Linked DNA regions of Coturnix japonica. The protein of the gene in region 2 binds, or shares a complex with, the protein of the main gene of each other region. Links are inferred from orthologs where the notes say so. Each region holds a gene or a part of one and is shown on either strand. Other genes may lie near its edges.

What was found. The genes of interacting proteins can lie anywhere in the genome.
Region 1: SNRPD3 (region 2) and PPIH share a complex: the UniProt entries of both Homo sapiens proteins name them as parts of the U4/U6-U5 tri-snRNP complex. The link is inferred for Coturnix japonica from reciprocal best matches to the Homo sapiens genes SNRPD3 and PPIH.

Annotation. Positions count from the first base shown.
Region 1 is NC_029536.1:5,567,013-5,572,125, forward strand, and holds the start of PPIH (peptidyl-prolyl cis-trans isomerase H), read right to left. Parts: upstream 3,090-5,113; 5' UTR 3,021-3,089; coding exon 2,955-3,020; intron 2,657-2,954; coding exon 2,592-2,656; intron 2,332-2,591; coding exon 2,308-2,331; intron 1,939-2,307; coding exon 1,894-1,938; intron 1,663-1,893; coding exon 1,620-1,662; intron 1,288-1,619; coding exon 1,195-1,287; intron 540-1,194; coding exon 452-539; intron 1-451. Other genes in the region: CCDC30 (coiled-coil domain-containing protein 30), read right to left, coding at 3,691-3,904, 4,078-4,148, 4,998-5,112. UniProt on the Homo sapiens protein: PPIase that catalyzes the cis-trans isomerization of proline imidic peptide bonds in oligopeptides and may therefore assist protein folding. Participates in pre-mRNA splicing.
Region 2 is NC_029530.1:7,447,681-7,452,798, forward strand, and holds the start of SNRPD3 (small nuclear ribonucleoprotein Sm D3), read right to left. Parts: upstream 3,102-5,118; 5' UTR 2,985-3,101; intron 2,707-2,984; 5' UTR 2,683-2,706; coding exon 2,557-2,682; intron 1,872-2,556; coding exon 1,682-1,871; intron 779-1,681; coding exon 717-778; 3' UTR 1-716. Other genes in the region: protein GUCD1, read left to right, coding at 3,107-3,317, 4,432-4,516. UniProt on the Homo sapiens protein: Plays a role in pre-mRNA splicing as a core component of the spliceosomal U1, U2, U4 and U5 small nuclear ribonucleoproteins (snRNPs), the building blocks of the spliceosome.

The sequences.
Region 1 (5,113 bases), on a different chromosome or scaffold from region 2:
TCATGAAGAGGCCTGGGCACAGCTCTCTAAACTGATAAAAGGGCAAGAGCTTAAGGTCTGGCCTTGAAATCTTACAGCTCTAGAGGCAGTACAAGTAGTCAGTCATCCTCTGAAAGCACATCTCATACCTACAAACCCAGCTGAAAGCTCCATTTGGATGCCAGCCCCTTCATGAAGGTATCCCTTCATCCTTCATCCCTTGTCCCACCTGCACTGGCATGAGGATTTATATACTAACAATGATACAACCATCCAGGATCTGATCTGGATTAAAGTTAAGCTGAGAAAAAAATGTTCCTAATGACGCATCTCAATACCTGGCTGCACAAATAGCTCTGCTGGCACAATGGATGGGGAAGGAACAAGCAAATCCACAGCTGCTTATTTTTGACCCTGTGCCACAGAAACTGTGTAAGAGTCTGTATGCCAGGCCTGCACGGCAGGTACTCACCGAACACAACATGTTTTCCATCCAACCAGTCACACTTGGAGCACGTAATGAAGAACTGACACCCATTAGTACTTGGACCACTGTTTGCCTGCAGGTTGAATTTGTCAAAATGCAAAGCATACAAATTAGGACTTCCCAAAGCTGAAGGCAGAGACATCTCACAGCAGAAAGAGCTGCTGCTTTAGCTCTAACCTGGATACATTTTATTGAGCTCACTGCTTTACAAACCAAAGGAAACAAGACAGACATTTGCAGGACAGCACCTGTGCTTGGTCACGGTGCATTATCAAGTCAGGCCCTGCTACCGTGTGCAAGTACACAAAATCTTTACTGGCTACAACATCACACTGGGGAAATAACGTTATAAAAGATTTCACACTAACACTGCTGTGGCTCTGAAACTCCGCAGTCTTTGTTTCCTCCTTGCTAAGGTCAGTGTTCAACAGAGGCATAAGGAAAGAAAAAGACCCATCACTCATCACTGTACCAGATCTGCAATCCTCAAGCCTTTATGGAAGCTGAGCAAATAAAACGTGTTCCTGAACTCTGACAGGTAAGAAGAAAGGATTCTGGAGGATCAGGACTCACTTCACGAGCAACCTTCTGACTGCTACTTAAAACACAGGCCTTTCAGACCCCCCAGCCAACTGCAGATTCCTACTGTTTGCCAAATACAATGTATAAAGTTAGGAAAAGTGCAGAGAGGAAACACCAAAAGCTATCAGCCTTCATTTTATACTCACCATAGAAAGCAGGCCAGGAGCAGAGTGCTTCAGCTTGAAGTTTTCATCTGCAAAAGGACCCCTGTATATACTGGCTACTCCAGTGCCATCTCCCTGCACAAGAGAGGCAATTAGTCTGCCACAGCGTTTACTTTTGCATCGTGAACTTGAAATAACTAAGCCTGACTTGATTTGTACTATCCCTTGGAATAGCTGCTTGGTTTGTGTACTTAAGCATCTCTTCTCACACATACAGTGGAGATTCTCTGCCTCTTACTGGGGGGATGGGAGAAACAGGAAGGACAACAGGGTGAAAAGAAAACCTCTGCAAGTTTGAAAAGCCCCCAGTTATACCATCGTACTGCTAAGAGAGAGAAAACATGGGAAGGATGAGCTGTGTGCTGTACAGCACAGGACAAAGACAAAAGCAACGTGGTAGTACATACGTTTACAAAGTCACCTCCTTGGATCATGAAATCCTTTATTACCCTAAAAGAGGAAAATGATACTTAGTTCCCAGGAGAAAAATGTCTTGTGAATGTCTGCAAACACTACAGCCTACGACCAGCGAGCAGTATATACGACCAGTGAGCAGTATATACAATCTGTGAGCATTAACAGTATCTGACAGCACCCAAAGGGCAGACAGCAGAAGCCCTTGAGGCAGGTCCCAAAGCCACCTACTGCTACTGAGTCTCTCAACAAAAGCAGAAGTACCACCTGTGGAATGTGCTTCCTTTATAACCTATGGGGACGCCATCTTTCCTACAAGGAAATAAAAAGGAAAATCATTACAACTCACAGTAAGTCCCAACACAAAACCCTCCCAGGAGCTCACACCCCCAAAGGGACGCCCTGTACATTAGGCCTAATACATCACCTACCAAACCAACCCACCTCCTTCAGCCCATCCTGGAGCTTAATTTCACACTACCAGAGGCCAAGGGAAACCCTGAATGGCCACAGCTGTTTGCAGCATCCATTTCATCAGCTCAAAAGGATCCCACTGCAATTTGCAGCACAGACATCTGCATCCCCCCTTTTCACACAGGTAAGGAAACCTTCCAAGTGAGCCCTTTCCCAGCCCAGTATTGTCTGAGGATGGTAGATAAAAGGAGAAGATAAACCACATACCTGAATTCACCGGTACAAAACTGCCTGGAAAAGAAACAGCAGAGAAAAGCCGAGTATGAACCACTTCTGAACTTTGAGAGCACAAAGGCGGCATTCAACAATGAATGCTGTGCAGGACTTGGGTTATTGCAATGGGGATGAAACAGGAATCAATGGGAACCACTCAACGCTTCCATTTCACAACAGAGCTTTGAGGAGATACTGAGAAAGCTGCGATATGTAACGAGCTCAGGAGGTTTATATCACGATATAACGGTACCGTGCTCACAGAGGCTGCTCCTCACCTGAAGTTCTCTGCGGTTTTGGGCACCACGTCAGCGAACAGCTCGATCTTCATGCGGCCAACCTCCTACATAGACACAAACACAGATATAGACACACATATTGACACACATGGATATAGATACAGACATAGACACAGATACAGACACAGACATAGACACACACAGATACAGATACAGACACAGACACGGCCGGCTCACCCCGCTCCCACACACCCCCCCGCCCCCCAGCCAGGCCTCTTCCCCCCGCTCCTCCTCCCGTAACCGCCGGGGATCCTAAACCCGCCCGAAGGGGAGCGGCTGCGGCCTGTAGAAGCCGATGAGGCGGGGATGGGCCCGGAGAAGCGGATCCGTCGTGCCGCTCACCTGCCCGCCGATGGTGACGTCGAAGAACACCACCGGGTTGTTGGGGTTGGCCGCCAGCACCGCCATGATGGTGGCCTCAACCGGAAGCGGAAGTGGGGCAAAAGAGGCGGGGCTACGCACGCTCTGACGAGCGGAAATTGTGCGTGTGACGTCATCCCGTCATCTACGTGGGTGGGGAGGCCGGGACAACATGGCGGCTGTGGAACCGCCTGCAGCCACGGCGTGTAGAGCGGAGGGAGCGGGTCGGGCAGCTCACAGCGCTCTATGGAGCCCCATAGAGTGAATGGAGCCCCATAGAGTGAATGGAGCCCCATAGAGTGAATGGAGCCCCGCGGATCCCGTTACTGCTTCCTGCCTGTCTCTCCTTCAGCCACACGGGGGCAGCCGCTCCCGTCTCAGCACAGAGCAGAGGGGAAGGGAGGAACCCGGCGGTACGGCCCAGCACAGGGAAACCGGTCCATGTTTTATTGAGGAAGCTTGGAAAGCAGGGAGTGCAGATGAAGGGAAATAAATCTCATCCCACCCCCGTTCTTTGTCTGTCTGCAGATTGCAGCTCTGGGCTGAGATACACACACACCTTTAAGGTTGGCCATGTTAATTATTAAAGAAAGCAGCTGTTGAATAATTGAGATACCACAGAAATCACCAATTATCATCTGCCAACACTCCCTCTTTCAATCTTGTATGACAACAGGAGCCTGAATCCTGGCAGCCTGCACTTTACATCGTCCCCAGGTTACATGTTCTCGGAGCTGATGCTCTGACTCTCCTCCTGCAGCTGGGAGGTTGCAGTGTCTCCAGGTGAGGCGACGTTCAGGTACCCGATCTCTGAAGGCTGAGAGGGGGAGAAGCAGAAGGACGAGTCCTGGCTCTCAGCTCCTCCTTCAGGCTTGGAATCGAGCACAGGCTTCAGGCTGCTGAGGGAGTCTGGTGGTTCCCGTGGTAGGAAACTAAAAACACATTCAGCTCTTCAGTCACTTTAAGCATTATCTGTTTCCTTGCCGCCTGCACAGCCGCGGTGCGCCTCTGCGAGGCAGCACAGGGCCATGGCTGAGCCCAATTCCTGCCTTCCCACAGGCAAGGAGTAACCCACCCCCTTCCTTTTTGTTTTAACCCACAATACCTGGCACGGGGAGGTGGTGCTGACACCTTACTCTGGAGCTGCCGTTCAGAGAAGTTGGCATTCTTCAAGTCCTGGAACAACAGAGACTTTCAAAGGGGGATGTGCATGTCAGACCCTCAATTTCAACATACAGCCTTGGACCTGAAGGCGTCCCCCGTTCCACTACAGGCTCCTCAGCTCTACAGTACTACTAAACATAAATCTATCCTTTGAATCTGAACCTTAACAACAAAGAAACCAACCCCAGAGCTCAGGTCAAGCAACCAGAAAGAAAGAAAACAGAACAGACTGCACAAACAGGTCCTGAAAGTACTCTTGCATTTGCAACCACTTGTTTCCAAACTGGGTTCAGTTCTAGCACCAAATTCCATACAAGTTCAAAGTCAACTTGGGGTTTATCATTCACTCCCTCTGCTTGCAGTGCTTCAGCTCTGGAGATCCCAGGGCCCATCAATGGTGTTAAATAAAGAGGTGAAGAAGGCATTAAATGTCTCTGCTTCATTTCATCTCCATTTGTGAGATGACCAATCTCACTGAACATCAGACCAATGTTTTCTTTAGTCCTTCTTTTGCCGCTAACATGCTTGGAAAAGCCTTTCTGTTAAAGAAGACAACCTGTGCTCCTGATCTCTTATCCTCAAAGGGATATTTTGATCACCCTTGGACTCTTCATCCTAAGTTCATTGCTTAACAAGCATGACCAGATAATAATCTGAGCGCCACACCAGCTACCCCAAAAGTTCTTCCTCACCAACAAAGCCAATGCAGTCTGCTGCACACTTGGCATCTCCTTTCTATCCAAATGACTGGCTCAGCCCTTCTCCAGCACCTCAACTGCAGCTACAGACACTGACCCTCCCAGCAGGACATCAGCTCCCACCACCAGTCTGCTGAGATCAGGACATCCCAGAGGGTCTCACCTCTGTGTTGGGAGCATGGATGCTCCTCAGCGCGCGCTGTGAGGTGTGCACGTGGCCAGAGAGATGGAGTTTGCTCTCATGCAGCCGCATGTTCTCCTCATCCAGAATCTTCACTC
Region 2 (5,118 bases):
ATTTAGATTCATAAGAAACACTTCAAATCAATGCTTGAAAATTATTTCTTTTCTTCCATATTCAGGCTTCTCTGCCCAGGCAACAGTAAAAAACAAGTAACTGCCAATACAGTCAGAATCAAATCACCTCAGGCAAGTACAAACCCAGGCTAAAATGGTCTGTCTACTATCAGCTGTGTGCTCCTAATGAAAAGTTTTCGCCGCATCCAAAGAGAGAAATAAGAAATACAAACTCAATGTACAGCTTCGAAGGTGGACCTGTATTTATTATAGATCCATACGAAGCTTCTCTAGGAGCTACCTCAGTTTGACTGTTTGCTCTGTAAATGCAGGTGATAACACAACCTTAAAACAACATTAAAAATTCTTCATGAAGAATAACTTCTAACTCTTTAGAGGGTAAATTACAGCAGTATTGAACAAAAAGGAAGCAAGATGATCTTTGAAACTCAATGCATCACACAAAAGTACAAAGAAATCAAATCCATGTCCACTGTTTTCTAGACAACGCACTTTGAAATCCACCTCCAACGTATTTGCCAGCTACAGAAAGAAGCCAGAACTCTATTGTGCCTAAGAGGAGCTCTGTCATATAACAGCAGACAGGGTTTTGTCAGAAACATTTATTAAACAGAAGTTACCAACATATATGTAGACAAGTTAAGAGCCCCTTTAATAATAATAATAAAAAAAAAGCATTTTGGTCAAGACCAAAATTATCTTCGCTTCTGGAAGATGTTGCCACGACCCATACCACGGCCTCTTCCTCTTGCAGCCACTGAAGAAAGAAAACATCAGGGATGACATGAATTTGATGCAACACATTTATCTCAACAAGTGACAAACCAAACATCAATAACTCTCAGTCTCTTCCTTAGAAGCACAGAAGTTAAGCTACAGTATGAGGCCTGGGAAGTGATAAAAGTAAATAGAAGTTTTCTGTGAAAACAACTGTAACTAACAACTACACAGCTTTGCTATTCATAACAGAGTATGCATTAAGAGCAATGAAATAGTAACACACCATTGTTCCTACTTTAAATTGTGTGAATCTGTAGCCAGAGAGATTTAAGACCTCCTGCTCTTCATACAGCGTGACAGAACTCGCTATATTTTGTCAGATGTTACTCCCCCACACATCCTTACTGCATTTGGTAGAGTTAACCAAGGGCTTCAGAGCCCATGATTATTTCTTGATCTTGTTATAACGAGACTGTTCACACAAAAAAGGTATTAAAGAGGATGAACTGCAGAATGGCTAACAGTTACTCATTTAAAAAACTTAAAGTATCAACCAAGTGTACGTATATGTGTGTGTGTGTGTATATATATATGTATGTATAAATATATATATATATATATATAAATATATATATAAATATATATTTTTTAAGCTTAAGAATACTTAGATCATCATACTTTGGGTAATCCAAACAGGCAGCAACCACATTTACAGAAAACCAAAGGTGAAGTTTTACCTAACTCTAGCAAGGCCACTTACTGTTCCTGAACTATCTGCAGTATCAGTATTGTGCATCAGTCTGAGTTTTGACTGCTGTCACTCATTCAGCTTCTTACAGCTCATCTTTGCTTAGTGTTAGGGATGAAAACATCTCAGTTTCTGTACAGCAAAACAGGAAGGTAAAGAGGGAACACCAGACCACAAACACACTGTACCCACCCTGAGCTTTGAGAATAGCTGCTTTTCCTCGGCCAGCTCCAGAGCCCTGGTTCTTATTCTTCATGCTCTTTAGCATAGGAGCGTTCTTCAGCATATCTGGTAAAATGAGAAACCGTATCTTGCTGCCTCTGTACACCTGCTCAAGCTGCGCCACTCGCCCATCCCTGTATGTCACTGTTATGTTGGACATCTGGAAAGTAAAGATCAGACAGTGGTCTCAAACACAGTTTGTTTTAAGTGGCCTTAAACATAGTTTTGTACTCCCACTACTCCTGCTCATGGAATATATATATAGCCAAGATTCAAGTAATAAACTCAAAGCCCTATCAAGCATACAGCCTTCAACTGTTATTGTTATATAAGGCATCTATAACCATTTAAACACAGTCTTAAAGCTTGCTAAAATTTAAGCAAACTCACTATTTTCCCCTCCTCCCCACTTGCTTAATTAGTTTTATTAGTTTTGTTTTCTTATTCAGATAGTTTAAATAAAGTTTTACTGGTCCCAGCTATTAAGGACATTTTTATTTCAACTACAACTTGCATGAAGTTATCAAAATTAAGGCTATTGCAATGCCTTAAAGTCCTCTGCATTAAGCACAGCTCTAAGCTCATAAATTAGAGTTTATTTATTATCAACAGGCAATAAACAAAGAACTGCTGAAGAGAAGGTGCTCACAGAGGAACCAGGAACAGGAAATCCCAATTCTGAGCAATTTGGTGTGCTCAGTAATCTGGAATTCACTTCATTACTGTAAGTGCACAGAGTAAAAGGGCTTTATTTATCCTAAGACTAAAAGTAAAAGGTCTTTAAATCCCGCTGTCAGTCTGCTGAGTGCAACCACTTCCAAACAGATGAGATAAACTTCTTTTACCTGGCAATTCATGTTGTCCTCAGCCTCAATGAGCTTCCCACGATACACCTCCCCAGTGTTGGTCTCGCAGGTCACAATGTGGCCCTCTGCCTCGTGCAGGACTTTAATGGGCACCCCGATGGACATGGCTGCAACACTGCGGCTCTACTCCTGGGACAGAGAGCACAACATAGAAGTGAATAAAGGAAACAAACTCCCAGTCGTTCTGCAGTTCGGCTTTGCCTACAGGAGCCGATTTGCTCCATTGAACAAAGGCCTCAGTGCTTTGGCAATACACGCCTATCCCAAGGCCCGGCCCAAGGCTGAGGGCAGCCCACCCTCTCAGCCCACATCTGCCGCCCTACGAAGCTGCAGGCACATAACAAACCCCCACAACAGACCCACCCCATAACAAACCGACCCTATAACAAACCCCCACCGACACTCACCTCCCACCAACCACCCTAATGGCCGCCGCCTTCCCGCCGTGCACAGAGCCCCGGAATCGGAAGGGCACAGGAGCGGATCCTGCTACTGCTCCTGTCCCTCAGGGTCTCGCTGCCTTATCACGATGGTTCCGCTGCACTTTTGTTCCTCCCGAAGGCAGCTCCCTCCCTCCCAGCTCCGAGCAGCCGCTTCGGGGTCCGCCCCCTCCGCAGCCGGGAGGAGCCGTCGCCGCAGCAGGGCATGGCGCGGCCCTAAGTCCGGCGGGGCGGGTAGTGAGCGGGCGGCCGCCGTCATGAGGAGCCCCCGGGAGCCGGGGGAGCCCCCTCCGCAGGCAGGTCAGTGACAGCTCCGGGGCCTCGGATCGGGGGCGGCCTGTCAAGCACTTGGTGGAGCTGAGAGTGCTCCGCCTTGTTTACAGCCGCGGGTCGGGCCGTGACAGCTCTGTTGGGGGTGGGGATGAGAAGCGGGCAGCGCTGGGCCTGGTTGTTACCTTTGAAGTCATAGTGTATGGAGAACAGGGACATCCACAGTGAGTTGTGGTGTTAGAAGGCCCTGGATGGTAACAGAGAATGGACCTGCTCATAACACAGCTCATAACACACCGCCAATGCTTACATTACTTCCTTCAAGCGGGATTTGAGGGGCTGTTTGTCCTTCTAAAGTATAATCAACATTGCTAACAAACACTGAGTACACCAATGGGTGTGTGCCAGCTTTCAAAGTTATGATTAAACCCAGTGACGTGATTGAGAAAGTGCACCGCGTTGTTGCTGCAATAAGCCGTAACTCAGTGAGAAAACAGTTTAAAACTGCAAGACATTGTCCATAAAGTTTTACATATAAAGCTGTGTTGAAACTGCAGCAGCCCCCAGGATGCTGAATGCTTTTTATCCCCATCTGAAAGCAGAGCTGACTCTGTGTTAGCAAAGGTTTCCAAGGGTCTGTACCAGATCGAAGGTAAAGTCATTAAGAAAAGCCTTTTATGATTAACTCACTTGGATTGTCTTTGAAGTTACAATGCCAAGCGGAAGCACTTCAGTCCATCAAGCAATCTGGGCTTTGCTGAAACTGAAACCACTACTACTGCCTGTAAAGAAATAACAAAGGATGAATTACTGATATTGCAGATTTTCTTGATATAGATTGGGTTTTGTCTCTCTTCTTTGGCCCTTTTACAGATGGTGTCATTTGTGAGCTGTCTTACCTTAAAAAATTACTCACAAAAAGACATGGCAGTAGAAGAGGCTGAAATCCATAGGGCTTGTAAGAAATCACTGCCTAGAGATCCTGGTTGTGTCTGTTTTTTACCCATTTGACCTATGACTTTTTGTTGGCACAGAATACAGAGCTGAGAACAAGCTGAATTGGAATGGTGAAGTACAGAAAAACATTCCCATATAACGACTGACAGCTTTTACATTTTACTCACACGGGGTGTTTTCACTGCAGGTGAATGTGTGCAGCTGAAAGTGCCCATCATTCAGCAGCTGTACCACTGGGACTGCGGGCTGGCCTGCTCCAGGATGGTGCTACAGTAAGTGCTGTTTTCATTGGAAGGGTGGGAAATCCCAACCCATGGGAGAGGGTATCAGGAAGCAATGTGCAGGGACATGAGGTGTATTGGAGCAGCTGTGAATTTTGCTTAGCAAGAACACATATCCCTGAATACCTTGGAGAATTACTGCTTCCAGGGCCTAGCACAGCAATCCAGAAGGGAAATTACAAGCTAAGACAAACTTAAGACCTTTTGAATAACTGTTCTGATTGATCAGCCCTGAGCTAACAATTAAGCAGTTTGGTATGCTTAAGCTGATAAGAAATTATCCCTCTTTCCTGTTGTTACAATTCAGAACTGGTATTTACCACAGCAAGTCACGTAATTCCTTTCTATATCATTATGCAGTGGATAGGTTTATCCTAGTTTCTGAGTATACTGCCTCTGTCCTGCTGAGCCCCCAGCCTGTGGGGTGAATGGTTTTTGTTCCAGGAGTTGTTTCAACATCACAGCTGTGCACTATATTGCCATCTCTTTTCTTTTTTTTTGTTTCTTTTTTCTTTTTTTTTTTGTGAACCTGTAGCTGTTCTTCTGAACTCCTCTTTCCTTCCACAGAGGAACATGTTAGGTGCAGGAGAAAT